2 linked regions of the Astyanax mexicanus genome follow. The protein of the gene in region 2 purifies or fractionates together with the protein of the main gene of each other region. This does not show direct contact. Links are inferred from orthologs where the notes say so. Each region holds a gene or a part of one and is shown on either strand. Other genes may lie near its edges.

What was found.
Region 1: the proteins of map3k2 (region 2) and traf7 purify together in Homo sapiens (affinity purification with mass spectrometry; 3 studies listed by BioGRID and IntAct, with this or other methods). This does not show direct contact. The link is inferred for Astyanax mexicanus from reciprocal best matches to the Homo sapiens genes MAP3K2 and TRAF7.

The regions. Positions count from the first base shown.
Region 1 is NC_064426.1:13,727,446-13,742,563, reverse strand, and holds the start of traf7 (E3 ubiquitin-protein ligase TRAF7), read right to left. Parts: upstream 8,389-15,118; 5' UTR 8,248-8,388; intron 5,031-8,247; 5' UTR 4,994-5,030; coding exon 4,859-4,993; intron 4,753-4,858; coding exon 4,695-4,752; intron 4,405-4,694; coding exon 4,313-4,404; intron 3,306-4,312; coding exon 3,189-3,305; intron 2,595-3,188; coding exon 2,502-2,594; intron 1,923-2,501; coding exon 1,889-1,922; intron 1,521-1,888; coding exon 1,337-1,520; intron 749-1,336; coding exon 614-748; intron 385-613; coding exon 167-384; intron 1-166. UniProt on the Homo sapiens protein: E3 ubiquitin and SUMO-protein ligase that plays a role in different biological processes such as innate immunity, inflammation or apoptosis. Potentiates MAP3K3-mediated activation of JUN/AP1 and DDIT3 transcriptional regulators.
Region 2 is NC_064412.1:37,838,206-37,854,163, forward strand, and holds the start of map3k2 (mitogen-activated protein kinase kinase kinase 2), read right to left. Parts: upstream 8,230-15,958; 5' UTR 7,796-8,229; intron 6,634-7,795; 5' UTR 6,564-6,633; coding exon 6,560-6,563; intron 6,458-6,559; coding exon 6,339-6,457; intron 4,014-6,338; coding exon 3,973-4,013; intron 2,221-3,972; coding exon 2,121-2,220; intron 1,513-2,120; coding exon 1,399-1,512; intron 789-1,398; coding exon 707-788; intron 1-706. Other genes in the region: cytochrome P450 27C1, read right to left, coding at 13,321-13,437, 14,090-14,293, 14,452-14,530, 14,840-15,003. UniProt on the Homo sapiens protein: Component of a protein kinase signal transduction cascade. Regulates the JNK and ERK5 pathways by phosphorylating and activating MAP2K5 and MAP2K7. Plays a role in caveolae kiss-and-run dynamics.

The sequences.
Region 1 (15,118 bases), on a different chromosome or scaffold from region 2:
ATTTGTGTTTTTCCCTTAGACATGCAGGCTTATTACGCTGCCACTGTCAGTGCCAAATAATCATAATCTCACACATTCCACAGCTGTGGGAGTTTTGGTTCCATTTTAAACCATTCCTAGTCAAAAAGAAATGGAAATGATGAAATATTGTCCTGACATCTCTTACCGAACTTGAGCTCCAGATTCTTCTCAAGCTGATCCAGTTTTTCTGACAATTTGCCCAGCATTGAGCGAAGAAAGGAGATGTCCTGGTCTTTCTGTGCCAGTGTCACCTGCATCTCATGGAAGCGATCATCCGTCTGTTGCAGGAACTCCTTCAAACCCTCAAACTTGCACACCTCAAGGTGGGTCTCATATGTGTCCTGGTTACCGATGAAGGTGCAGCTGAAATAATAATGATATGTGTGCTAATAAATATCAGTAATGCATACAAAATATTAAATCTATAAAATTTAGATTATTTATTTAATACAGAGTTACTAACAGGCTCATCACCAATGCACCTTATTTAGCTGATAATAAATTACAGTGATAAAAATGATGCTGCCATTGTGCACAAACGGTAAGGATTAAGCACTGAACATGTGTGTGTGTGTGTTTTTCTCTCACATACCCGTATTTAGAATGAGGGCATTTGATGTGTTCACACTCCTTCAGATGAGCCTCCAGGTTCATGGTGAGCAGCGGAGGGCAGTTGGGGTTGTTTGGGCAACGAACTGGACGGTAATCACAGCTCCCCTCATGATCCCTGTACAAACACACACACACACAAAAACACATACACACACAAATGTTAGAGTTAGACCCTGAGCCCAGGCCTCCAGCACTGAAGTGACTGTAAGAGAGAGGAAAAGGCATGTTTCACTGCAGAAACAAGTAGAACCAGAGGAAGCTCAACTCAAGAACTACCCTCTAGTTAATATAGGTAATAAGATTTTAGTAATGACTGACAATCAGAGTAAGACTGCTTTGCTGAACTACAGTAGACTGATTACATTGAAACAGCCTGTTAACCAGTAATAAATAACATAATAAGAAAAGCGATTAATGTCAGCACAGATAGACCTTATACACTATTATCCTCAAAACTTCCCTTTTTGTGAGTTTTTTTGACTTTCAGCCCGCAGCACAACGCGTACAGTGATCGCGCACACTGTGCTGAGGTGAAAGTGGTTCCAGTTCTCCCAGCATTCAGCTCTATGGAGAAGTTTGTGGTCCTGGACTAAAGAAGGTCACACCATTTTATAAACCACATCCATTTACTAAACTAGCGATGATCTGGAGATTGACGAGAAATGGGTTCAAGAGACAAAGAGGAGCATAATCATGTTCTCACTTTCTGGTGCTGAGTTTGATGGTGAAGGGACAGCCCAGTGGATCGACCTCGAAAGCTCCTGGTTTGCCCGAGGCTGAGGGCCGGCAGCCATATTTGCAGTGGACAAACAGCTCTCCGATCTGCTCAGCCACAGCGATGTTATTCACCACCACGGTCAGCTTTGAGTTGTCCACTGGGCATTTCTCTGCACACACACACAAATACACAGTCAGGCTGACCTGCACTTACCTGTGGAAAGTGACTGGTGGATATCAGACCCGCTAGTGCAGCAAACAGACTCTGATCACAACAATGTGCAATAATGCAAATACTAATATTCTGAAGTAACATTTTTATTGTCTCGCTGTTAGCTGTCCCCCTTTACAACACAGATAGCACAGGGTAGATAGTAGAGAGGACTGGAAATGACTAAACTGGGGGGACAAACTCTAACAGGAAGTAGTGAGGCCCTGATGTTTCCCCTTCACTGACGACTAACACTGAAATGAGGAAGGGAAGGTTGAAGTGGTTCAAGTGGACTGCTGAGGTTGGAGAGGTCAGAAATGTTCCTACCTGAGGTTAAAGCACATCGCCTGCAGAAGGTGTGCTGTAGGAACATAAACAAAGAGACTGATTTTAACATGGGTTATAATTAAGAATCCTGCTCATAATCACAATAACCAGCTCATTACAGGATTAATTAAATCCTGAATCAGACATTATAGATATTAGTGTTTTTTTTTTTTAATAAACTCACCAACACAAATATCAAATCTTGGTTTTTGGTAATTTAAATGAACAAACCTTATCACACTGACTGAAAAAAGCTATATTTTTGATTTATACAAGCAGCAGAAAACTGCTTTAAATAAACACCAAATACACTTTCTTAAATAACTTAATAGATAAAAATAAATGATGCGTGGAAATACTGCTCTTTCTCCAGTAGAGCACTGGTAAATCTAAAATTACCAGTGTATTTGTTTCTTTTTTATTTGTTGTATTTCTAGTCAATTGTCAAAATTTATTTACATACAAAGTTTACATTAATTTATTTACATAAATAAATGTTATTAAAATAATTTCCGAGCTGCAGTCGTCACTGACACAGCCACAGGAAACGGGTCAAAACTGACAGGAAATCAATATGTGGGCTGTATCCAGAATTTAAGGGTGGAATGCTCACCCCACAGGTGGTGATGACAGGGTCCTTGAAAACACTGCAGCACAGCTGGCAGCACAGCTTAACTGATGGCTGTTCTGCAAACACCTGTGGCTCCTGAGAGGGGGATGGAAAGAATGAGTGGGAGTAAAAAAAAAAATACATTTGTTTTTTGCCATGGACAGCTGATTTTGACGTTTTGTAAAAGGCTCAATTAACCTTATGTAGAGACAGAGGACAGCTGTGTGTGCTGGCGATCTGGCTGGAGGGTCCTTAAGCAGGGGTGGGTTTAGCAGCGTGTGACTAACTGCACATTAAATGCATTTTATATAAATGGTGGAGCCTAGTTCCCAACTTTACTTTTCTTACAGTCTCAAATCTTCATTCAAAACGCTGTATACTCAGTGAGGTTTCACTAGACTAAATCTCTGTCTGGAAAATTGCGCCTTAAATTTTGAAAAGCACACTTTTTCTCTTTGTAGTCTGCTGTCCATATATAGAAAATTAACTGTAAAAGCAACATGCAATGAACTGCTACAGAAATTGATGACAACAGAAATTATGAGCTATTCTGATCATACAATAGGACAGATGGGTGGAACATCAGATACTAATACTGAGTCAGTTTACCCCATGTGTATTGTATCATGTGGTGTTGCAGATGTAGACTTTTTGCTAACTTAGCGTATTTTAGGTGAGGGTGTTACTGACCGTGTCTTCCTCTTCCTCATGCAGAGAGAAAGTGGAGCGCAGTGACATGTTGGACTCCGAGTGAAGAGAGCGAACAGAGATGGCTGAGTCTGACCGGCGTGGTGTACTGATAGGGGGCTGCACGCACGCACACACAAACACACAAAATCAGGATGTTTAGCTGTAAAAACAATAATTCCTGAATTCCTCTGTTCACATAATTATTAAAAAATATGTCCTCAGCCAGGAAGCAGTAAGATCTGGACACTGCAGCTGGCTGGATAGAAGAGGACAGCCTGCTGGTCTCTCAGGTAGAGCCAGACCTCAGCAGTAATCAGAGAACGATAAAAACAGAAAAGCAATTCATCAGCAGAACTAACGAATGCCCACTGCACTGCAGCATATGGACTGAACATGCTTTTTCACCTGTTCTGCTGAACACACAGTGTGAGCAGAGCAGAGCAATGTACTGTATACTGTATATCTGTATCAGTGTCAGGCTACAGAACTCACTATCAAATTCAGATTATTGACCGATAAAGAAACAATTTATTGCCCAGATCATAATCTGTCATTGTTCCATTACAAACCACACAGAAATCTGCAATAGTCCAGAACATAGAACCTTCTTCTTGTATTTACTTTTTTATTAATTTACTTTAAAATTTACATTTAGGAAATTGTCTCTAAATGGCCAACTGCATCCAGAGACCTGATATTTTCAAGTTCCTCCTGAACTGCACCTGAAATCTAAAATTACAAGCTTTACGCTAAATGTTTTGAGCAGTATTTGACTGCACTCAGCCACAAAAAACCTCAGTGCTGGTATGTAATTTTGATCAGGTTTGAAAATAAAGTACATACAAAAATCATCCAAAAGTACTTCAGCACTTTAAAACATCTTAAAAGGAATCACTCCAACTCACACCACAGATGTTAAGTGTCTGTTGTTTTGTAAGGATATCTTATACATTTAGACATTTAAACTGACTCTGTATGTTAAATTTTATAACCAGTGTTGATTCATCACCAAAAACTCTTCAAAGCATAGTCTTTGGCTTCATCTGGTTCTGGTAAACAGGCACGCTGTTAAAGTAATAGGCAGTGTTAAGAAGTGGACTCCAGCAGAGCTGGACTGTGATTACCATGCCATCATCGTCGTCCCGTGGAGAGTAGGTCAGGGTGCTGGAGGACGAAGGGGTCCTGCGGTGCTGTTTGTAATTACCGGTCGTCTCGGCTGAAATTTCACAACATGGTTATTACAATGGATCAATCTCACTGCACAGCCCGAGGGCGTTCAGGCTGATCAATGGTAGAACTGGGTCAATCTCCACTACTGTTTTATAAGTTCAAGTTATCTACATGCAACAATTTCTAATATGTTGCTGTTGATGTAAAGATAATCAATCACCTAAATAAGCTATAACAAGCTGAGCCAGTGTTTCATTTTTACAATGCAGACCTAGCAGATCATCTGTTTCCATATTCACAGAAATATAAATACAGTGCCAAGCAGCTTGTGTTTACCTTTGCTGACTGGAGCGACTGCAGAAAACGTGGGTCCAAAAGTAGATTCCATTCTGGTCTGCATGAAGCATCACAAACAGTCAGACATTGGTGTGATTAAAATAACTTATGGTCTTACTTAATAATACGCTTTTTTTTTTCTAAAAAGTACCATAAATTCACACCTCCACTGTATTCGTTACTGACGTGAACAGCGCTGTGTTTCTCACCCAGTTACTGACATCAGATAAACTACTAACAGTGGCATCAATGGGCAATCCTCCTGAAAAACGGTTGTAGCACGCTTTACCGGAGTTCATAATCCATCAAAGCCATGTAGAGTAGGGCCTTCACAGCCTGCAAACAGAATACAGCATTAAACACTGTAAAGATACTCCCACCTCATACAGTCAGATACACTCACTTTTCACATTATTTAATTTTTTAATACTGTAAAGTGCTAAATTAATTGGTACCGTGCATGGTGGCTGAGCATTGCTAATTGGCTACTTTGATGCGACATCACCACATTTCTAATTGGGTGTTGCTAAGCCATCTCACTGTCCCAGATTACACTTATAGGCCTGCTAGGTGGTTGTGATGGTCTCATACATGGTTAATAGTAGTGCTGTGCAATAAAATGATAATGATAATTATTGCAAAATAACTTTCCCTTAATAGTAATGTAATAAAACTTCGGGGGGAAAAAAAAGTCAATAAAACTTTGTCATGACTCGTTCCGGGGACGTTTCAGACAGACAATGGAAACAGCTAATGAGAATAGGATTAGCGCCACGCTGAACCAATCATGTAGCTTGAATAGAGTTTGTGAGTGAGATAGTAAGTGAGTGAGATAGTAAGTGAGTGAGTGAGATAGTGAGTGCTCTGTGCTCATGCTCTGTGTGTGTGTGTGTATGGTGGTGAGAGTGCCAACAGCAATCATTGTAAGTTCTAGCAATATAGCTACATTAAACGCCTTTCTTGGCCATTCTTTTAACGCGTTCTGCCGGATGCTTAAATATGATGCTAATAAGCATTTATTTATTTGGAACTGACCAGAATTTCAACAAAACAGAATTTAGTTTACAGTTAGTTTACTTCGTTATTCTGTAACATTTGACCTTTTGAATATACAGGATTTAAGTTTTATATTTTTATTTATATTCTCTTACTTATGGGTAAAAATAACATTTAAGTGTGACAGAAAGTGATTTGATTTATATCATGATAAATATCCATATCCACTGACATGGAAAACTATATCCTGATAAGATCTTCTTTTTTTTTCTCCATATCGCCATGGTTGATAGGATGTTGCTACGTGAGTACTATCTTTGATAGAGTTGTGGTGGTGCCTTTGGTATAACACAGTTCATTGCTTATATCTTGGACAGGTTAGATGAGAAATCTATGCAAAAAAAATGATTGGAGTAAATAATAAATTAATGTGCAGACCTAACAGTCTACAGCCACTGAGAGATGTGGTAATGCTCGACTGTACAGATTTAGGTAACAGATTTGGGTGAAGTGCAAATATAAGATGGATTAGAGCGACTGTGACTCAGCTGGCTGAGGTTCAGGAGGCCAGACAGAGCAGTAGTTTCCAGTAATCAAACACTAAACAACACGCTTCAAACAGCTCATCCTAAGGTGCGGTGTTGCCAGCACTACTCAAACCAGAATGAAGGAAACCACAGAAATAATTATATAACACAAGGAACTAATCAGTTTCTCACAAACAACACACCCGAAAAAAGTGAGAATTATTTAATCCTGAAGGTGTAAATTGAGTGTAACATATCCTGCTATACACAGTATGTAAACACTTTATTTAATATATGTATATTTAACATAATGCTGCAAAACAACCTGATTTTAATACACAAGTTTACAAGCCTATCTATTAAGTCTACAGCACTTTAGCCAGACCAATTCCTGCTAACATTATTAAGACAGTTTTAGCCTGAGCTCATTTTCACAGAGCATAAACAAGAACAGGACTCTTTTAGTCTGCCTAATTCTAAGGCATAAAAGATGCTGAAATAAATAAATAAACAAATAAATAATTTTATGAGGGGAAAAACAAAGAAAATTTCTGAACATGAGATCTCCACACACATATCAGCATTACCCAGAAAAATACCCTTTATATTTAAATGATTCAATGAAAACAATGTGACTAAAATCCTTCGGAGTGGGTTTGGTGTAAAACACTCCCTTCTAGAGAAACTTACCCAGTCATAACTGTTTGCAGTGGCAGGTAATGGAACCAAGCCTCTAAACCTCTAAAAGCTCCCTCCTAGATTGTTATTAAATGAATAACATTGCCTGATACATGAGATCTTGGTCTAATACATGTCTTTAATATTGTATATTTATTTATATTGTTATAACATTATTATAGTGAAAACAAAAGCAGTCCCTTGCATTTTACTGAAGAAAATATTTTCCCACATTTAACAATCATCAACATCCATATAAAACTCAGAAGACAAGTGTAGTTTCACTGGTGGGTTTGAAAAGTAGACAAAACTGCTATATTTGTGTGGTAGCCCTGGTGAAGCCTGGTTCCACGTTTCACCACTGTAAAAAAATCCACTAACATTATAGGTCAGGAGGCCTAATTTCACTCCAAACCCCACTCTGACTGTGACACTGGTGAAATTCCTTTCAGATGGATTTGTGAAGCGTTTTTCCAAATCAGGGAAAAAAGCACCTCAGCAAATCATGAAGGAACCTATTGAAACTACATGATACACATTTGCAATAACACCTTAAAGTACATCCAATTGAACCAGCTATCAATTATGTTTCTTCCTGATTTATAATGGAAAATAAATATAGTTAAAGTGTGTTTCTATCAGCTGGAAGGTCGCAATGAAACCACCTTTATTACACATACATTAGCTATAGACATCTAATTTAGCTACTGAAGTAAACCTGAATTATCCAAAAAAGTCATACAGAGAGGGCTGTAAGAGCATAAACACAACACATCTGAACACCACTCAGCTAACGTAGCTACAATTCAGGCTAAAGTTTCTCATTGTCAAACAAAAAGTCAACCTTTTATAAGTAACGTTACCTAAAGAAAATAACAGTCTGGCGCTTTATATGAAAGAGACGGACTGTCGGTCTCCAGTCTCAATTTTAATAATCCGGGTTAAAACAACCCAAAACTAAGATCAGAATATAAATCTATTTTCTGCGTTAGCACTGGCTAAGCTAAGCTACGCGATTCCAACTGTCAGATATGCGTAAATATTCTTCCAGTCAAACCGACAGCAGCGTGAAAAGATCGACTACAAGCACAACTTATAAACTAAACCCACCCCGTAATCTGTTTTTGCTGTTTTTGTATAAACGTGTGTTTTTGCTACAGCTCGCCACTAACTAGGCTAAGCTAACAGCAGCTCGTGAGAGGCTTCTTTCCAAACGCGGGGGAACTTTTCGCCATCACTCCGTTCTCTCACACATTTGCGCATTAAAACGACGTTTACTCTAACATTCTTCCGTTTTTATCTTCTATACAAGTATTTACCACTACATTTACCACAAAACTAAAGATTCTCACCTGTAAGCGAACTCTGCGGAGAAATTCTTCATTTTCTCTAACGTTTTCGCAACCACGCGCGAAGGATTCTGGGAAATGTAGTAAGTAAGCTGTGTAACCGTATAAGGTGTTGCAGATGCGAGCAGAAAATGGAATACAACTCCCACAGTTCAACATCGCGCTATGTTTCTAAATATGCAAGACTGAATAGTCCGAGGTTGCGTTTCTTAAGGTGAAATAAATATTATGTAGTATGTAGTATGTAGATATTTAAAATGTATCATTTGAATAAGTGAACGAAAATATTGTCATCTTGTATCAACAATTTTATTATTAACTGCATTTCTGTCCTTTGAACAGATGAATCTGTGAAAGAAATTGTGTTTTTTTTTGTATTAAATGTGTTGTTTAGTGGAATAAGTTAAACATCCCTGTTAAATGTGTTTTCATACATTTTGTGGAGGTCCAGTCGGAGGAGGGCGCTGTTCGATCAAAGCATACGTGTTCTTTTCTCGTTTAATTACTGGAGAGTTTGTTTATGGTTATGTTATATAACTTACTGTATGTAAATAAAAAATGATTAAGTCTGTTTTTTAACGAAATATGTACATGCCGGCTAAAAAAATAAAAAATATGGAATTTGCCAGGCCCTCCTTGCAGCAAAGCAGCAGCAAACAATGATGTTTCCACTTCCATGCAAAGACTTGGTCTTTGGTTCTTGTGCTTAAATGCTGTGCTAGGTTTGCACCTATCGTGCCTTATGTTAATATGCCAATGTGTTATTTTTTTGGGCAGCAAAGTTTCTCACATGACTTTTTGGCTTATTTCTGATAGTAGATGCTGCCCTTTAACACTGACTTAGGTGAGAGCTATCTGTGGGTCTTGTGATTAAATGTTTGGTTTCTTTGAGATTTTTTTTTACGCAACTTGGGGGGTCTGTTCTTGAGCAGCTCGGATGCCATGCCCTGGCCATTTTATTAGCAATTTTACCTGGAAATGATTTAGGGGATAGTGGAAAGAGTGATTTTTAATTGTTTTGAGATCTTTGTAAATATACTGCCAGATTCATCTGCATCTAAAACTTTCTTTCTTAAGGCCTCAGAGGGCTGTTCGGATGTGACTATGGTTAAACTGCTCACCTCAACCGAAATATTGCCCTCTCTGATCATGGTCTGATCATCTGCAGCTAATGTGCTGCATTTTAATCTAATTTTAGTAGTAATAAATGTAAGATGTCCTATCAAATGATCTTAAAGACAAGACAAAGCATACAAGTCTTAGTAATGCCAAAAGAATCAGTGATGTCATCATGTGATGTCTAGCGTTTGGGAGAAACCAGATGTACCCGTTGCTCTCATGCTGCTCTGAACTTTTGGGTTTTGGGGTCAGTATGTGGGAGTGATGGTGGTGGTCCTTCTTGGGGGATCTGGTCTAGAATTTCCCCTCGGGGATCAATAAAGTATCTATCTATCTATGTATCTACAATACATATACACAACACTTATTTATCCAATTCTTGAGTATGCTAGGTCAATCTGAAGTGGACAAATAACTTAAATAAAATGGAAAGGGTACAAAAATGTTGCTGCAGGATTATCAGCTTCCAATCACTATCTCTTCCACTGTTAAGCAAAAAGTGTGATAAAGCTACCCTGTGCACCCTCAAGAACGTACTTGCAGATAGCTCATTTCCTCCGCATGGCTTCTTGCCTACAGCACCTATTTCCACTTTCTCACTTTGTTTCCATCAAGGAGAAGTGCCCATGAGTCTTTCGGTATTCTGTATCACTGTACTAATAAACAATATACATTTTTATTATACATTTTTCATTTTAAAATGCCAGATAATTTTGGGTCATGAAGTTCTTGACACATACTCAGTTGAAGATAATGTTTATATTCTTTATCATTTTTATTGGTACAAAAACATGAGTGCACAAAGACTTTCACTGAATGTTCTACCTCAAAATAAGGTACAGCACCGCAACAAGCTTTGTACTCTTTTAAGTACAAATCTGTATTTAATTTGTCTTAGTGTGTTGGACAAATGTGTCAGATCTCACTCTTTATAAATTGTTATAAATTATACCGATACTGACAGGTCTAAATGTTTAAATATGTTCAAAGAAACAAAGGCTCTGCTATACTAAGACTGACACTGTAAATTAATGATACACACTGCATTAGGAAAACCAGAGGCCTGATCTGTTATTGTGTGTGCAGATTGTATTCAGCGCTTAAATATCTTTTTAAAAGAACCAGTTTAACATTTATTTGAAGCTCATGACAAATGCAGGATTAATGCTACTCTTACATGCTGCAGAAATTAAGCATCACATGACTCTGCATTAATTAAACACTCCTGCTGAGATGTGGGTCAGAACTGAGAGCTACTGGGAGAGCCAATCCAATCTCCTTCACATGGTTTCTGTAGTGTTACAACAAGCGTGAATGTGTGAGAGCAGGAGATGCTCATGCTGGAGGGGGAACAGCTTTAATGGATGGGGACTGGAGAATGTTTGCTGCTGGGGTGGAGTCTTTGAAGGGTCCAACATTTCTGTGACTTATAAAGCCAGAAGAATCTGAACAATGGAACACGTCAACTGTCTGCCTTTGCTCAGTGGTTCCCAGAATGGGATCTGGTGATCGCTTGGAGGTATAGAAATATATATAAGGCTGGAAATGAATGCTTCACCTGCTTAACACAGAAGGCAGAAAGCCTTTAGCTGATCTAATTGAGTACTTCCACTGAATAGGAGCATGATTTTTATTCCTGTTCACGACACTGCAGCACTCAAGTTGCCCTTAAGTGCTTTTACCCCTCAGCTCTTGAAGCGTCTAATGGAACAAACGTACGTCAAATCCTGCACATAAGACACAGGGTAAGGCTGTCAGCTGTATTCAGTGCATTCTGGCTTCTGAAGGACAAAAAAAAGAAAAACTGCAGCCTCAATACGTAAAAGTAGAAATGCAGTTCAATCTATGTTGAGTCCATGTGACATAATACACAATACAACTACTGTTTATGTTTATAAGTAAATAATCTTAGAATATTTACACATTAAAATTAGAAAAGAAAGATAATTTCACAATTCTCGGCAGGCATGTCAATACAACCCAATCCTGGCTAATCCTGTGCCAGCCCACATCCAGGCTCACAAAGAGGCCACATCCAGGCCCAATCCTAGGTACCAAAGACATCAATTCCAGGCCACATTAAAAAACAATCCCAAGCCATATTTAGGCACAATGCCTTTTCTAATCCTAGGTCTTATAGAGGCCTTGTCCAAACCCTCGCCCCATCCTTGCACAATTATGTGCAATCCACACCTAACCCTGGACCACATACATATAGTTTTCACATCCCAATCTCAGTTGGTGACAGACTAAACCCAGTGTTTGTTAGCAGCATTCTTAGCATCTTAGCATCCTCTGTTATACTATATCAAGATATCAAATGTGATTTGGCTTTAGACCTTCTACTGACTCTCTCTAAATAGATATTTTAAGAAAACTGTCTGAAATATCCATATAGTTTTTTAGGGACAATTTTCTTAAATTTAAACAGCCCTACTATATTAATGATAATACTAATTATGTTATTAACTATTTTCAAATACCTGTACTATAAAATATGATTATATATCATAAAACAGTGTTAACCACAAAAGCTTTGTGCTTAGGCACCTGTCTGGCATTTTTGTTTCAATTCAGCTACAGTCTCAATGGAAAGAGATGGCGCTGACACACATGTTTAGCTGTGTGTCTGTCTCATCTCACACCTCCTAATGCAACTGTGTGAGGTGTGATAGTGGAGGAGGTTTGGCTGGGAGCCCAAACAGACACACGACAGATGTCCACTTTATCATCTAATGGCCTAACTTCACATTCTCTCTCCATAATGGACCTCCACTATATCATAACCAACACATCATACATTACCAGAGCTACATATGACTTAATGACAGGGTATTTTTAGCGTTTTTAGTGCCCAGTCTGCTAAGCCTTCAGATAAAAAGAGCTGAGGATAGGCCTTCTTAAAGACAACCATACTGGATGTGACCCCTTTGAGTTGCTAAAGATTGTAGAAGTAGTAATACTCCAGTCCAATAATAGTCAGCAAAATACAAACAAACAGCAATGCAGAGAACATACATGTATAAATATACATGTATAATTTTATACTCATATGACTCAAAATAGTGTTTTTCTGTTGTGTTTGCTCTGCTCTTGTTCTAAAAAGTCTCGCAGTTTGTGGCAAAGACTGTGTTTAAACCTCTCCAAACAGCACACAGTGTCATACTGAAGAGGAATTTGTCCATATTAGGGCATAAATAGTGGGTAAAAGACCTGCTGATGCAAAAAAAAATTCAGTGGCCTTAGTTCTTATAGAGATTCTAAACTTGGCAAATACTGAAGAGAAAAAAAATCTTGCTACTAACTTTCCACCCGTTTTATGGCACTCCCCTCCTCCTGTGCGGATTGGCTAGCAGGTTGTCTTCCCTGATAGGCAGACGGCTTCCGAATATAAGGTAGTAGCCAATCCCAGCGCGGGGACGGGATAACACCACCCAATCGTAGTCGTGCGGAGGCGGGATGTTCATAAAATCGGGTGGGAAAGCGAGTAACAGTGCGGTCAGTTACATGAGACCCACTTTATATCGTCCTTTTGTCGAAAGCATTAGATATAAAAGTGTGTGGACCTCATAACCCTCCCGAGAGCTTCTCCGCGCCTCACTTCCTCTCACTCTAACTCGCTTTAACAGCTCGCTGTCGCTTTCCGCGGCCACTTTCCCCAGCCTCTTTCGTCCATTCAGCATCGCTTCAACTTTTAGCTTAGCATCATTTTCCCCATTTTTTTGCCGCCACTGCAGCAGCGGTTGGCCGTTAGCGCTTCCCTCCCCTCAGAACCAGCAGAGAATAGATCCGTATCCACACCGTTTATCACTATATTTACTGTTCTTATCAACTGACTGAAGGACCCCAGTGCTGCAGCAGACTGGTATATATGTGCAGTTGGGGACTTGGATTTACACATATCGCCAAATAAGGAACCGGGAAGAGCATCTCCTCATCAGCTGAAGGTAAGAGAGACAGCACCAGACACCACCATATAGACACAATATCACACACCAAAATACACCTAAACAGGCAATATAACCACAATATATACTGCATCAGACACACATATAACGTACATACAGACAGTTTGTGACTTGGATTTTTTTCTGTTTCAAAAACAGTTCCAAAAATCTATTTTTACCTCCCCCGTCAGCCTCGAAATGATGCTGTTATATAAAACTGCCGTTTACCTCAGCCGACCCCCCATTTTTTTGATCGATGGGATCATTGATTAATAGCTAGCGACAGGTAACGTTAGTTAACGCTAGGTTAGCTAAGCCAGCTAGGCTTCGTTTCTGCTTTAGTTTACTAGGTTACACAAAATGCAGCAGCGCAGGGTGTTTCACACACGCACACACACACACACACACACACACACACAGGTCAGGCTGGTTCGCCCTGCATCACGCGAGACAAAACGGTGAAAGTTCTCAATAGCTAAATGTATTATATCAAATTATCTTCACGACTTTATCCTTATAAATACTTCTTAACACTTAAATCTGCACTGAGTTCAGTTTAGTGACAGGTCTGAAGCAGTTCATGCTTATTAGCCAGCATAACCTATCCTAACCGTCCTAATTACATGCTGGAAATATATTTTTTCCAGGTTAGTTAGCGTTAACATGTACTCATAAATCATGCTAAATTGTGTGAATTTATTATCGTGCACATAATCACACACTGTAATTTACCACGTTCACAGGCCAAATAGAGATTCTTATAAACCCAGTTCATTTACCAAATGTGTACATTACCAAAACTCTTTAGAAATAAATTAGGGTTCCTGTCCATAAGCTAACTTACCTTTATTTGGTAAAGAACCTTATTTTAGGTTCTTAGAACTTTAAAAGAGGCTCTGTACATTTACATATATTTTACAGCTAAGGAAGCACTCACTAAAATACTGGTTCCTTATGGTAGGTAAAACCTAATGAAATAATGCTTAACACATTTATCAGTGACCAGTAGTGACCATCTACCACATGGACTTATTTATGTGCACACAGGCATGACTTAAGACTATTCTCATTCAACACCCTAAAAAGCCAAAAAAAACCCCAAAAAGGTTTATTCAAACACATCAGTACTGACCTACATGAATGCACCGACCTATATGTACGATTTTAGGTTTATTCTTGTCCAGCAGCACCTTAAACTTAAACCACATCTTAGCTTTTCAGTGGCCTACAGAAAATACACTACACTTCCAAAAGTATCCAGATGAAATGGAACCATGCGTCACAGTCTATGACAATAACACAAGTGTAGACATTTTAATTGCTAGCCAAACCTACCTAAGTGTCTCTTCTAAGTTTGTATTTGGACAGTGTAAACAAATGAATTTTCTTTTGGAGGCTAGTTTTGCTGCGCACCCTGCATGTATCCCTTCACCACTCCTACAAATACATTTTAGGCCCAAAATCTTCTAAAAACTACTAAAACTGTGTTTTGAGTGTAATCACTTATTGTATAACTTTCCTAGAGGAAGCGTATTGTTTTACACCAAACTGGGTTTGTTTCTGTTTAAACTGCATAGAATTAAGGAAAAATGCTGTAATTCGAATTGTTGCTCTTATTGCTCTCACATATAGACAAACTGACCAGTAGAAAAGGGCTGCTCTTAAGCAGCTGTGAGCACATGGCTGTAAGGTCAGTGTGCCCAGTGCCATTTGTGAGCTGGTTAAAAAAGCAGTAAGAGCTTTAAAATAGTGGAATTGTATTCTCTGAAGTGATACAGCTCCGTCCAGAGCTCCATCCTCATCTTTAA
Region 2 (15,958 bases):
ACAAAAAAGGCTAAAAGGCTTTTGAGTAAAGATGTCTCAAATTATTTTTGCTCCAGAATCCGAGTCTGATTTGATTTTGAGTATCTGTCGATACAAAATACTGATCCGATACTTTGGCAATGGACAATGAAATAATAAGGAAGTCATGCTAGTTGTAACTTAAAGATTTTTTTTTAATATATATATATTTTTAGTTATTATTGAAATAACTTAAAAGCACATGCGACCATGAACACACTCACCACAGATGAATTTAAGTGAAACGAGGGACTGGGTTTCAGTGCTGGTGTGAGCGCATTATGGTCATTCTCAATGTACACATACAGCAGTCTAAAGTGAACTCGTGGAGTAACAACATAACTTGTCCCCCAATTCCATTTCTTTGAAAATTACGTGATTGGCACAGATTTCCAATCATGCGATCGGATCGGGGACATCCCTACTTTTGAGATAATAAATTTAGTTTAGTTTCACATTATGTTTAAGTCACGTCTTATTCTTCAAACCTACTGGTTGGTTGCAAAACAAAAAGCAATTTATTGCCTGTTGTCTGATTAGTTCATGTAAACATTTTGATCTTATTACAAACTGACATTCTGCTGTAATTCAACTGTGAAGTTAAGAGCATTTAGACCCGCTCAACTTCTCCACTAAACTGAGATCTTCAGACACTTTACTACTAAAGTTACCCTTCCCAGGTACTGACCTATAATGGCTAACATGTTGTTACTGTCTGTGTTGTCCAGATTGTCACGAGTAGGCAGAAGATCCATGCTGGAGACTGAGTTCTGACAGAAAAAAAGAAGCAGATGTGAGTTCAACATAGAGATCATACTGTGATGAATTTTCTTATTGTACCTACAATACACTTTTTTAAAGCAGACCAAGGACACCATTATAACACTGACCCAACTGTATTTTTTTTTTAAAGAGTGTAACTGGTCCATTTTAACTAGATGAAGAACAGGACAATCTAAATAAAAATGTATTTTAGTACCAAAAAAAAAAAAAAAACACACACTGACTACTTAATTGTGTTCTCCAGTGAGCACACGTGCAGTGCATCATAATGAGTAAACATCTAAAGCTCAGTATTCTGAAGTAGATTGAGAATCCTCAAATTGTACTTTTCGTCTCTTTTAAATGGAAAGGTATGGAAGGTCAGTAGGTCAGTGGTTGGAATCTCTTCCTGAGTCTATGGCCATGGAAAAATTAACATATGTGTGAATTAGATACGTGTTGTAACTTTGCATTACGTTATGTGTTTGAATGATATGTTTGGTTAAAAATGCATCAATAAAAAAAAATATTCAAAAAAAGAAAAAAATGAACTTTTCGACAGGTTAGATGATTTTACAAGCATTCAAAAACAAGCTTTAGCCCACAGTTCAGACTGACCTGGGAAGAAGCTGGCAACACCAGCAGAATTTTCAGACTCTTCATGTGGACAGAACGATCCAGCAGCTCCACGGCTTTATCCAGATCATCCTGAGTGCTCAGAGGAATCACCAGCTACAGAGACAAAAGCGAAAATAAAAATGGTCTGTGATTTAAATGTGCTTACATCTTACAATAAACTTCTGATTAAATTAAAATATGTTATTCAGCATTTTTTGTAGTGAACTGATTATAAACGCTGTTTTAAATGTGTTTATTCTTTGTTTTTGTTTTTTACTGTTTAGAAGAGAAGTGGACAGGTTGGTTGGTTTTTGGGGTCTTATTGCCACTTCAGCATAAAATATATTTTACATCAAATATAAATATATTTGGCTACATATTTATTAAATTAGGTGTTTGAGGTTAAGATGCGATACGAACTTTAAGATCTTTCCGGGTGGGTTTTTTTTTCCCAAAGAGGTCTTTTATGTTCTTTTCTTGGTAGTAAGATTGTCTCATAAGGTTATAGTCAGGACAGTCGATGCGGATGTGTTTCATCGTTAGCGGGATGTTGCACGGTTGACAAGATGGTATTTCATCATTCGTTATTAAGTGTCTATGTGTTAGATTTAGTGACCTATGCGGCACCTTGCGTAGCTCGTCTAATTTGATCTTGAGTTGTGCTTGTAGATTGTCCGTTTTAACAATGGCTGAGAACTGGACAAACGTTCTAATTTCGGTACCTCATTATTGGTGTAGTGCAGGTCCATGGCCTGCCCAAACGCCACTTTAGCTTTGGTGCTGAGATCATCTAGCCTGAGGGGCCGAGGAAACTGCAGAATCCTAAAGAAGCAAAATGACATTGAATTAGAAAATATATACAAAACACATATATTGAATAACACCTAATTCATTTACACAACATACACATTTGTTAAAAAGGAAAAGAAAATTAATTAAAATAAAATAATAAATAAATTAGGGATGAACTGAATAAATAGGAACCAAAATGTTTAGCCAGATCAGCAAAAAAAAAAAAAAAAAAGCATATACAATTGCAGTGTTTAGTCTAATGTTAGGCTTTCTTGCAGTAGCAGCAGCACTTTACTGTTTCAAAGACAAAAGACAACAGGGCCATCTGGAGGCTAAAGGTTAAAAGACCATTAGATTATATTTTCTTTAGTAAATCATAACATTATCAGGATGTTTCAGCAGATTTTAAGAAAAAATGTTGAATTTAAGCACTAGCAGCTCTCGACAGCGGAGCTTCATATGTGATAGCTTCATACGGTTCATATGTGAACTGTGTGGTACATCACAGTAATCTGTGTGGATTTTAGCCTCCGCCCCCCACACTTCCCACTAGGGGTATACCATATCATATCATACGCAATAATATCGCCAACAATTTTGAATATTGTGAACAGTATTATACCCTGAAATATTGTACCATATCATCGACCCCTAATTATCACATTAAGAGTACTACTTTTTGCTGTTTTTAGCAAAATAACACTGTAAGAACACTGTTCTCATTTCCCATTATATATCTACTAGAGACAGATTATATCTGTCCAGTATAATTTATTTTACTTTAATCCTGGATATATGGAGATATATGGAGTGCATTATTAGTATCATGACATTCTAGACCATTGACTTTTGTCAAAAATCTGATAAAATTCTTCTTCCAATATCTCAATTAGGGGTGTGCAGTATGTATGCAATAACAATATATATATTTTTATTTAGTTGCAGTAATGTATTCTTGAAATCAGTTCAGTGTTTTTTTATATTGCCAAGAGTATCGTTTTCGCCAAAATACCATGAAATATCGTGATCGTATCCCACCCCTACTTCCCACAGTCCCATTTCCACACCTTAAGCTGCCTGGTATAGAACAACAGCATGCAAACAATGTGCTGCAGTCATGGAAATAGGGGAATTGTCTATTTTTCTCCTAAACAGCTAATCACCGAGCTTCAGTAAGGTTTGCCAACCAAGCTAACAGAGTCATATAAAATCAGTTAGTTCATAATGTGCAATCAATAAAAACATTGAAGTGTAATATATATATATATATATATATATATATTCACGAAGAGGTAGAACACGTCATCGCTTGCCAGTGTGTGTCAATCTGGGAAACACCATAAGCTTCGTGTCTGGTGAGGGCTGGGTGCGCAAAAAGCTCTCTCCAGTGTTTTGAAATTGGACTGCTGTAGCCATTTCACAAGCTTGTTCTCATTTAATACATTAGTAGACTGTTCCTTTAAACAAAGGAAATTCAGTCTGTCATGAACTTAGATGCTGCTGTGTCTGCATCCATTGTTTTATATTAAAAGTCCTCTGCAGGGGTTTGTGATTGCATGGGCCACCACTAAAGAATACGTTCTAAATGTTTCATTTTGTACAGTTAGAGGCGAAAACAATCATATCAGTGCATTACAGGAAATAATAATTTTCCAGCATTTCAGGAATGTCTCTCCAGGCTTCAAAAACTTTATGAATTCATTGCATGTCCCGCAGTCAGATTCCTTTCTATTACAAATTAATCTAAGTAACAGTCATGCTTTTAAAAGTTGAAACCATTACCTCTTCTCTCCCCTGTACTCGAACTTTACTCGAACATCGTTCTGCAAGAAAGAAAGTGAGATTAACACGGTCCAAAACTTAGCATTACATCAACTGATGATTGTCACTGTGGACCCTAAATGACAATATTGTTTAAAGGCATGGAAACAAAAGCTTTATTCTGATACTTCTATACCTGTCTTTAATCATTTTTCCTAAACTAAATAGGAAACACATTCAATCATATGAAAAGCTGAAAGATTTCAAAGAAAAACTCAAAATGACCTGACCTGCATGTTTCATTGTTGCACAGTTACAGTTCATTTTTCATAATTAAAGAATAAAATTAACCAAAAAAAATTAAATAATTAAAATTAACCAAAAAAAGCACATACTATACAGCACATACAAGTTTTGCAGTGCCTTGCCGTAAAATTAACTAGATCTCTTATTTCTTTGATATTCCTTTAATAAAATCCATATTTTCTGTGTTTCAGCCCATTTGTGAAGCATAATTATATGAATGAATCTGAAACTTTTCTCCAGAAGTATGTTAGTGGCTCTCCAATGATGGCAATTATGTTTGGAAAATGACAACCATACAGAAAGAGCCAATAGTTTTTTTGAATGTCAGATAATGAACAGAAATGGTGTACGTAAAATGCACAGAAAAAAAATCTGTATTTGGCTGTATATATAAACACACATTTCCTGCCTGTATCTGAACAACCACAACAGTTGGGAAATCATTTGAGGCCAGGTTCCTAAAAACAACATACATCCTCCTATTATACATTAATCCTCGGATAACTGCAAAAAAAGTTTTAGGAGGTCATCGTGAAGCTTATTATTATACCTTTCAGAAGCAGAGATTAAATAAACAAATAACTAAACTTATAAGTTTTCTAACACTTCAGCGCACTGCATCAGCACTGTGTAAAATTGTTGCTTTTCGATACTGAATTTAATGGCTTTTAAATTTCCAAACAACCAATCTACAAGCAAAAGCCCTAGTTAAAGCTGGCAAAATTGTAAAATGTAACTTGACTTTTCACCACAACTTTTCCTGTTCTAACATCTGCAAAAACTAACGTGACACAAAAAAAAGCAAACGATGATCCGCATTATGCTAAAAGCTAACACTAGCCAACGCAATAGCCTTTTACCATCTCTTCCAGTTACCTGTGTCCACTCGCTCATAAACAGACAAGATGTCCTCAGCTAAACCAAGTAAAGGTACATTTCAGCTTATTATTTACTGGTAAAAACAAAAAGCCAACAGCACCACTAGCCCGCAAAACAAAATAAATAATTACAGTGTTGTTGTTACTGTGTAAAAACTATGCTACACTACAGAAGATCTGTAAGCTTTCACAATGCCACAAACCAGTAGTAAAATCTGTGTTATTTTTGTTTTTAAAGCCACCTGTAACCATCAGCTTTTAATTCTGATGTTAAATACCAGGGTGGTAAATAAGCTGGTAAGACCAAATCTGAACATTATGCACCCCAATAAAGTCACATGATTACCATCTGTACATGAAAAAAAAATTAGCCTAGACATGTGTTTAGACATTCAGCATTTCTAATGTAGCAACATAATTGTAACATCTGTATTATGTCGATGTCCTGCAGTCTTATACCCAGAATCTATATAGAAGTACAATGTACAATAGGGCTGGGCAATATATTGTCAATATCAATACACTTAAAATAATTTCCCACAAGCAATTTATTTCCAATTAAAATCTTACATGGGTGGTGTCTGGTGAAATCGAATAGTTTCAGGAGAAATGACAGACAATGAGCGGACATCATTATCCCATAAAACTGAGTAACAACAGCATTGTCATTATTTCTGTGCTAAAAATATACTACACTACAGAAGATTTGTGGGCCATCACAATGCCATAAACCAGCCAATAAAAGCTTTTTTTGCAAATGGCTCTGTTATTATTGATAGTCTGATGTAAAATAATAGGGTGGAAAACAAGCTGGTAGGACCACATCTAAACATTATGCACCCAGCCAAAGCCGCAGGCTTACCATTTGTGCATAAAAAAAACCACCTACAAATACTCTATGTGCATTTTCCAGCATTTTTACTACCAATAAATGTTTGTCCAATCATCCAGTGCAGTCTTCTAAATAAGTGAAATACTGAGATAAATATTTAGATATTTACTATTTAAATACATCATACATTTTATTTATGGTGTTACAAATAAATGTGGATACTTTAACATTTCACTTTTAGATTTCATCATATCATATCTCGTCATTTCCCTGCAACATGTTGAGATAAGAGTTTTTTTAGTCATATCGCCCAACCCTTATTTACAAGTTTACATGAGTCAATGTTGGAGGATCAGACTAAGATATCAGACCTGGTTCTTGGGAGACGAAGCCTTGGGTTTGCCCAGGTCAGACAGAGACATGGCTGGCCGGCTAGAGCGATGCAGCTCAACCAAGTCCTGCATGATCGAGTTTAGAACCTCTTGCTCGTCTGTCAGGACATATGGGTTTAAAACAGGTTTAAAACATGGACCATGTATAAGAATTTATAAAACCTTTGTACATCTTTTATCAGGAGACATAGGTTACATACCCATGATAACTGCTCACAGTCGGCCCCAGGAGTTCAGGATAGAGGATATCTCCCATTAAATGGGTTCCTTTCTCCTGTACATAGATATCACAACTATTTTGAGTGGGTGTCATTCATGTAGGCATTTCCTTTACATACAAACAACAATTGACAAAATACCATCTAACATCATAATCGTAATAATAAAATAATACTGTTACACAAACTGCATTTAAAAGTACAATAGTAAAGTAAATCACACATCGATCTCAGATATCATCACATTGGGGGGAAACTGGTGCTACTGGCGGGTCTGTCAGCTGTCAAAATCTGCTCTACCAATGATAGCTGGCTAGCTAGCTAGCTAACCTAGCAAGCTTGTTAGCTAGCTATAGTTTACTGTTTCAACATACAACAAACACAGTGTGTGTAGGCAGTGTGTGCGCTCACATAGCTAACCACTTATCTTCATTAGATAACGAGGCCACAAGATTCCTGATAACAATGGAAATAGTGTTTTACAAGCGGTCAAAATGGGGCTTATCAAAAAACATCTTCAGCAGTTGGAGGATGATGATGAAGAGAGCTAGCTAGCACGTCCGCTTTGCTTATAAGCTAACTAGCTAAACATTACTGCGGGTGAAAAACCAGCTGTTTTGGATATTTGTCTTTAACATAATAAAGACTGAAGCATTTTACATAGTATTTAATGGGACATATGCACACGACAATACAGGGGCCAACATGACATTATCTCGTTATTAGATAGGTTAGCTAAGTTAGCTAGCTAACAACAAGATTAGCTCGCTACACTGAAGGCGCGCTAGCCATACTGTCTATCTAGCTAGCTAGCTAATTAGCTGTTAGTTAGCTTAGTTAGCTAGACAGTCTGCTAGGTACCTTCCAAACTATTTAATTAGATAATAGAGCTGGCTAACCTTGTACGTTATAGTTATATTAAGACCAAGGAGAGACAGCTAACTAACTATCCAATTTGTGCAAATATAGCTAGCTAGGTTAGCTAACTATCTCACATTTAGAGCTAGAATGCCAGCACACAAACCTTCGTTCACTTCGCTGCTATTTTATATATGCTAACTTTTAGCTACTTGGCTAGCTAGCTAACATAAGCAGTGTCTGACAGGAGAATTTATTGCTAATAGACATCGACTGACAGCTAAAAGCCTTCAGAATCTAATAACTAGGATAAATAATCAATAACAGCAGAAAATAAGAGCTATTTGTCCTATTTCTCACCTGGGTGGTTCGTGTATCTTCACTTCCTCATCCGAAGGCCTTGGGAAGTGGGGGCCCTGCCCGACTTTAAGAACCTCCAAACCCGGCTTAAGAAGTTGTAAAGTCCGCATACAACTGCAACTTCAGTCCGAGGCCCCAGAGCACTAGCTCAGCTCCGCTAACCGCCGCCACTGCCGCCGCTGTCGATGCGCTACAGGCCGAGCGATTAATCACCGAACTCGCTTCACATTCAGGCCAAAAGCGTCGTATCCGCGAGGCCGTGCCGCAAATACAGACACACAGATAACCGTTTAACGGCGTGGTTTTGTTCATATGTAGAAACCGCAGGTATCAAACACGGCTCGACTGAAGACTAATCCCGGAGCGCCGCTCTCTCCCCCCCGCGCCGAGCCGCCGATGGACCAGTCCGATCCGCTACACACGATCAGCCTGTCAGAGAGACCTGCACTCTGTCTACAGTACGGAGACCACAGCAGGACACGGGGCTCAGAGTATGTATTTATTTACTGGGTCTGGAAGGCTACTGTTTTAATGCGATTTAATATTTAAAAAATGGAATAATCGAGATTGTACATCTTGACTTAGAACCTACTAGAGGGAATCTCAGAATATAGACAAGTTCTTCTGTCAGAAACCTGTAAACACCTCTTTTAAGTGGCAGTGATTTTCATATTTTTCATATTTTTCCACAAAAAAAAAAAAAAAAAAAACTAAATTAAATGTAAAAGAAAACAATAGCTTTACTTTAAATTATGCTGTCTGTTTCCAAATAAAAAACTGAAGGTGACCACATGGTCGAATCCTGATTATGTAACTTGCCATCAGCTGCCAGAGCAGGGTAGATGGGTGATGTTGATCAGCACAAGGCATCTGTGAGCTGATGTATCAGAACCGTGTTGCTGCGCTTTCCTCCGAGAACGCTGACGACTCTGCTTTGCTACATCAGCAGCAGTATGAAAAGATGCAGTGATTAGCTTCACATGTATCGGAGGAGGCATGTGCTAGCCTTCACCCTCCTGGTGTTGTGGCATGACTGTGATTGGGGATATACAGCTGACTAGCAGCTGAATAGGGGAAATGACTGGCCTATCTAAAATTGGGAGAACAATGGGAGAAAAGACTCAGCTTTTCAAAATAGGTTTTAAATGTGAATAAAAGAATCAGTATTAGAAACACTTAGATTTTTAATATTGATGCCAGTCACTTAAAAATAATTGTATTATTCACAACAGTATTATCCATGATTAACAATGGCTGAATCATGGATAAAATCATGATTTAATTTTTTAAAATGCTGGTACTTAATTGTATTTTTTGGACAAAAATAACTGTGTAATGTGGTTTACACCTGATAGACTAGATTTATTTTACTGGATTATAATATCTCAGGGTAGTTGTGGTGCTTTTTAAACAAAATTAATGTATTGAGTTTAAATGAGCGTTTTTGTGGAGGAAATAAATGCTAGATTAGCTGCATATTCCACACTCACCAGCTTGAAAAGAGGAAACGTGCCATCAGCTGTGTGTGTGTGACCACAGTAGTGTGTGAGAAATAGAGAGAGAGATAGAGAGTATCAACATCAGCACAAATAAAAGGGTAATCTACCTTCTGAACTCAACAGAAAGCTTTGCTGTGTTATATCTCTAAATAAAACTGCTAGTGCGTCATCAGGCTCTATCACATTTTGTCACAAGATTAATTATATGCTTTAAAAAAAAGTACGCATTACAGTTTCCAGACTAACTGTGTTTTAAGTGTGTTAATGCCAGACATCCCAAGTTGCAAAAGTTGATTTCAGGGAGGTTACCCTACTACCTTCAAAAAAAAACTTCACTTTTATATTAATTAATTTTTTTTATTTTATTTTATTAAATTTAGAGTATTCAGAGGTGAAATTAGTTTTATCTTTTTTTCTTTTTGGAAGGCCCTGCCTCTACTTTCCTTTTTTTTTTTTTTTTTTTGAAAAAAGGCCTTTATTTGACAAAAATGTACAGTTACAATATCACAAAAAATTGCACAACATCAAAAACATTTCATATCATATTACAACAATTATTAATATTGCCTCTGCCATGATCTGCTTTCTCTCACTCTCTGAACAAATCCCGTCCGGGAGGGGGGAAAAACACTGCCCGCCCACACTCAAACCTGATTGGCTGTCTCACAGACTCTTTGCAGAGAACAGGCCAATCAGAATCCTCTCTGTCTTCTTTCTGTCCTTCCCACACGCGATTAGAGAAAAAAAGTCTGTCGCCTGTGTGCGCGTTTGCGTGCAGTGCGCGTTTGGGGCACTCGTTCTGAATTGCGGGAGATTATATGTGACTCGCGGGCATCAGGGAGCCACTACCGAAATGCGGGAGACTCCCGCAGCTTTAGGGAGACTTGGTTTGTCTGTAATGCTGACAGCCCTAATTTATAAACATATTTTTTAATGTAAATAAATGGGTGGATGACTAGTAAAAATTCAAAATTCAAGCAAATAATCAAACTTAATAAATAATAAAATAAATAATCTAAATAAATAAATAAATAGATTAGAAAATAAGGTAGAATGCATTAACCCTGTAAAAAGTGCTTAACTCCAGTATACAGTCAAGGGTGTCTTGCTTGGTCAAAATGTACAGTATTAAAATAAATATGGCTGAATCTAAATGATTATTTGTATTAAATTCAAATTTAAAGTACATTTTCAATGTTTAGATGGGAAGAGAGGGTCATTGTGGGTTTCGTTGAAATTGGTGACTAGTGAACCTAAATAAATACAAAATAAATGCATAAAAATGCTATATATAAGAATGTTGTCCTTTTTGGACAAGCATGCTTGTTAGCCTGATCATTTTCATGATTTCCCTTTAATCATTAGTTGTTTAGATCAGCGATTTTTGTTAAATATATTAAATATCATAGCAGACGAACACAGTGATATTTCAAAAGTGAAATGAATTTTATAGGATTTAGAATAAGTGTGCAATAATTCTTTTTGCAAAATTAGGCAGGTGCATAAATTTGGGCACCCTTGTTGTTTTATTGATTTGAATACCTTTAACACTAATTATTGGAACACAAAAATTGTTTGGTAAGCTCATTGACTCTTGACCTAAATACACAAGTGAATCCAATTATAAGAAAGGTTTAAGGGGCTAATTGCAAGCTTTTCTCCTCTTTGCATCTTCTCTGAAGTGCGGCAATATGGGAGCCTCAAAACAAAACTCTCAAATGACCTGAAAACAAAGATGGTTCAACATCAGGGTTTAGGGGAAAGATTTTAGGTGTCAGTTCTAGTTATGAATCGAAGTGACAGACCAAGAAAATTCTGAGATGAGCAGAGGCGAAGGATGGTGAGAACAGTCAGTCAACCCACAGACATCCAGAGCTCCAAAAACCTACTTCATCATCTTTCTGCAGATGCTGTCACTGTGCATTGTTCAACTATTCAGTGCACTTTGCAGAAGGAGAGGTTGTATGGGAGAGAAATGCAGAAGAAGCTTTTCCTGAGCATGCACCACAAAGTTGGAGTTATTTGGCTGTGTAGTCAGTGCAGGTACTGTGAATCTTGTTAAAGTTGAGGGTCGCATTGATTCCAGTCAATATTAGCAGATTCTTGAAAACAATGTTCAAGAATCAATGACGAAGTTGAAGCTCAAAATCTACTAAAGCATTCACTTTCTCTATTTGCAAACCGTCTGTCTTACCATGGACACATGAACATCAAGGCTTTTAGAGATACTTCTGTAACCCTTTCCAGCTTCATACAAGTCAATAATTATACAACGTAGGTCTTCTGAGAGCTCTTTTGTGCTGAGAGGCATGATTCAAATCAAGCAATGCTTCTTAAGAACAGTAAACTCAAAACTGGTGTGTGCGTTTTTATTGGGCAGGGCAGCTTTAACCAACACATCCAATCTCATCACATTCACATCTGGCTCCAATTAGCTCTTAGAAAAGTCATTAGCCTAGGGGTTCACATACTTTTCCCCATCACTGTAAATGTTAACATGTTGTGTTCAGTAAAAATATGCAAACTTACATTTTTTGTGTGCTATTAGTTTAAGCAGACTGTGTTTGTCTGTTGTTGTAACTTAGATGAAGATCAGAACCCCTTTAATGACCAATTTATGCAGAAATCAAAGTAATTCCAAAGAGTTTACATGTTTTACTTGCAACTGTATAAGAGTGTTTAGTGTTTGAGATATGAGTGTATGACATTTTATTTAAACACAATGAAATAAAGAAATAAAAAGGCTGTAGAACTTGAAGCCATGTTAGAAACAGTCACCTTTATTATATTTTGTTTGTATAACAAAACTAAACTGTACTGCATGAATGAATAAAGAACAATGTAACACTATTAGCATGGATTTGTGTCACTTCAGTCAATGAATTTGATATAAAAACACTTTGAACATGATCAAATCAAAGCAATCCAGACTGTTCTCATACAGAGTTCCCCAATGGTGGAACAAACTACCTTCCACTACCAGATCAGGAGAATCTCTCACTATCTTTAAGAGACTCCTGAAGACAGAGCTCTTCAAATAGCACTTACTCTCTTAACACCTCTAACACACTAACTACTTCTAACCTCATTTCCTTCTTCCCCTCCTTCACTCCTCTATCCTATTATTCCCCTTTGACCTCCTTTTATCCCTATCCAAAGATGTTTTACCTTTAAACTCTTTTTACATTGTACTTGACTATTGTAAGTCGCTTTGGACAAAAGCGTCTGCCAAATGTAATGTAATGTAATGTAATGTAATGTAAAAATATATTTCAACAATACAATTAGGCACTAATTACACATTCAGTACTTCATGAGAAGTAAAAAACAATTAGTAAAGTTCAGTTAATCTGCAGACTTTTCTAAAGTAAAAAAGCAATATATCTTAGTATGTAATACAGACTTATTTATTTATAAAAGTGGTAGTGTTACATCACAACTATGCACAGTAGTACAAAACATCTTTTAAATCACATGAAAATGATAAATGAAAAAGTTGAAAATCACATTAGATATTTTAGATTCTCAAGAGCATTTTTTTTCAATATTGGTCCCTTGTAGACCCCACTCCAAACCCCTCTTTCCAATGCTTTACTAACACTGCTTGTAAAATCAAAAGGACAGTATATGCCATTTTTACATATATAGGTGAATTTGCATTAGTCATCAAAAATAGTATTTTCTTGAAATATTACGCTTGGGGAAAAACAATATAAAATGTAACATTTTAAACATAATTAATTCAACAATTGTAAGTATCATAAGGCTTTGTCCATCAGGCAGATTTAAGCCATTTAACTCACCACTCAGACTCAAAAGTGAGCCCCCCAAAAAAAGGCAACAAGAAAAAGGCACAGAGGCACAGTCCAAACTAGATCATACCCACATTAGTGGCTTGATCAGCGATAAGAAAATTGGTTTGGGAAGATTATTTTTAACTGGACATGAAAAGTGCAATCTAACATTCTCAATGCTTTAATACAAACACTACATTAAAATACATATGTACACATTCAAGGCAGGGGTCTACACACGGTCAACAAACTTGAGGTTGATTGATGATCCAGGACACAGCAGGCCATGGGTTTTGGCTCGGACATCACCGGTGAGTGGAGACACCTCGATGCGAAACTTCTGAAGGAGCTGCAAATAACAAAGGGGAGGAGTTAGTGACCACAAATACCTTAAACACATTTTATAGGTGTATGGAAAAGTGCAGTCTGCTTTACTAAGCTGTAAAATCAGACAGAGGCTGCTCTATAAAGCTTTAAAAGGGGCTGTTTTTAAATACATTTCATCCTGCAGCGGTGAGATTGTGCTGATTCAGGCTAGGTTTGTATGATTTTTTTGTTGTTGTAATTGAAAGCATCACAGGAAAGGGTTTGAATGTATGATTATGTGATTATGTGCTCTGAGTTATAAAACTAGCTCCTGTGTGTTTTTTCTTCTACAGGATCCAACCAATTTAACAACACATATGCTGGGATTAAAATGTTTTACATTCCATATAACTAGTTCTGAAACAATTTATATGCAATTTGTGTTACATCATAATTTTAACCTTAAAATATTTAGTCATGTGCTCAATCATGTTGGTTTTAATTAATCTTAGTGAGATAATTTAAATTCATTTGTAACTTTTTCAGCCAAAATTTTTTTAACTGTAGTCTGTTGCATAGTTGATTTAATCTCTGCTATGGTATAAAAGTCACAGTATTGGATTACCAAACAAAAAAAAAAAAACAAGCAGGTTCTGTCTCTGTGTTCAAACACACTCACACACACACACACTCACCTGGGTAAGACTCAAGTGCATCTCAAGTTCTGCTATTCTTCTGCCAACGCAGCTCCGGATGCCGTAGCCGAACGGGATGGAGCCGAAGTTGTCCACCCGATCCAAAGCGTCTTTCCGGAGCCAGCGGTCTGGACGGAATTCTTCTGCACTGGGGAAGTTTTCCTCATCCATAGAGGTGGAGTAATGACAAAGAGCCAATTGTGTCTGAGAGAGTAACAAAGAACAGAGCAGTGTTACAGTAGATCTTCACTCTGCAGCTAAAATCAATCAGCATTCGCCTTTTACTCCAGACTCCTGATCTGGCACATCAAAGCATTCTGAGACAAACTTATAGAAAAAAGACACACAGTGTCTAATCTTACCCCTTTAGGGATAAAGTAACCACCCACGATGAGGTCATCCTGTGTGACACGGCCATTGCCAGGAAGAACAGGGAAAAGCCTGCAGGTAAAGACAGAGAGTTATTTTATTAAAATGTTAAAATATAGAGAGCAATTACATCCAACAAACCCAGCCCACTATACATTAAATACACATTAATATACTATACATTGCAGGGAAGGGTTTTTTTGTGGACTCATAACCTAGGAGGCTTTAAAAAAAAGAAAATAAAGAAAAAAAAAAGGAAGGAAGCTAAATGCCATGTATTATTTATCTACAGCAACAAATTACTACTGTGTTTACACCGCTGCTGTAAATACAAAATCATGTTATGAGCACCCCCTCATGGACAGCTGAACACATGCATACCTAAGGGTTTCTTTGACCAGTCCTCTTATGAGTGGCAGCTGAGAAATATCATCAGCATGTGGGACCCGCCCACCCAGCACCTGGGTGATTTCCTCATAGATCTCCTGTTGCACTGTGGGATGTTTGGCCAGCAGGTATGTTGCCCATGATAACGTGAAGGAGGTCTGAAAAAAGGAGTAAACAAAAGATGGTTAATCTAAAAATGCTTTGATATACATATTAACTTAATCAAAATTAGTCAAAATCAAAATCAGTATACAGCTCTGTAAAAAAAAAAAAAAAAAAAAAAAAAAAAAAAGAGACCACTTGAAAATAAAAAATGATGAGTTTCATCAAACCAAGCTGAACTGCTTGAATTTGTGCCCCAGGAGTGGCATAAAGTTATTCAAAAACAGTGTGGACTGTTGGAGGAGCACATGCCAAGATGCATGAAAACTGTGATTAAAAAAACAAAAAAACGATTTCTCAACTTTTCTTTGCATTATTTGAGGTCCTAAAGCTCTGCACCTTTTTTTATTTCAGCCATTTCTCATTTTCTGTAAATAAATGCTCTAAATTACTATATTTTTATTTGGAATTTGGGAGAAATGTTGTTCGTAGTTTATAGAATAAAACAACAATGTTCATTTTACTTAAACATATACCTATAAACAGCTAAACCTTCAGAAGCTGAAGAGGTCTCTTAATTTTAACCAGAGCTGTACAAAACTAACTACATCAGGTGTGCAAACAGCCCAACAATTCAATTTAGCTTTATACCTTAAAACAAAAGTTGTGCCCTGACTAATAATATTATTAATGTTTTGGACTCAATCTTTATGAGGTAGTCCGAATTAAATCTCCTAATTTTTCTTAAGAGATACAATAGGGTAAAAAAAAAAAAGGACAGAAAGCTCTCCGTGGGGAGTTGAATGTTTCGGCCCCTTGCTGTGATTTGACCACTTGGGAAGAGTTCACAAGAAGTTCAAATAAGAAGGCTCTCCCCTTCTAACAAAGTCTCATTCACCCTCCTTCACTGCTGGAGAGCAAGAAGGTTTTGCACAAGCCTAAGAAGCCTGTAGCTGTTCAGTCTGTAGAAAAAGTGCTAGTTCGGAGTGTACAACTTCTTCAAACATTCTT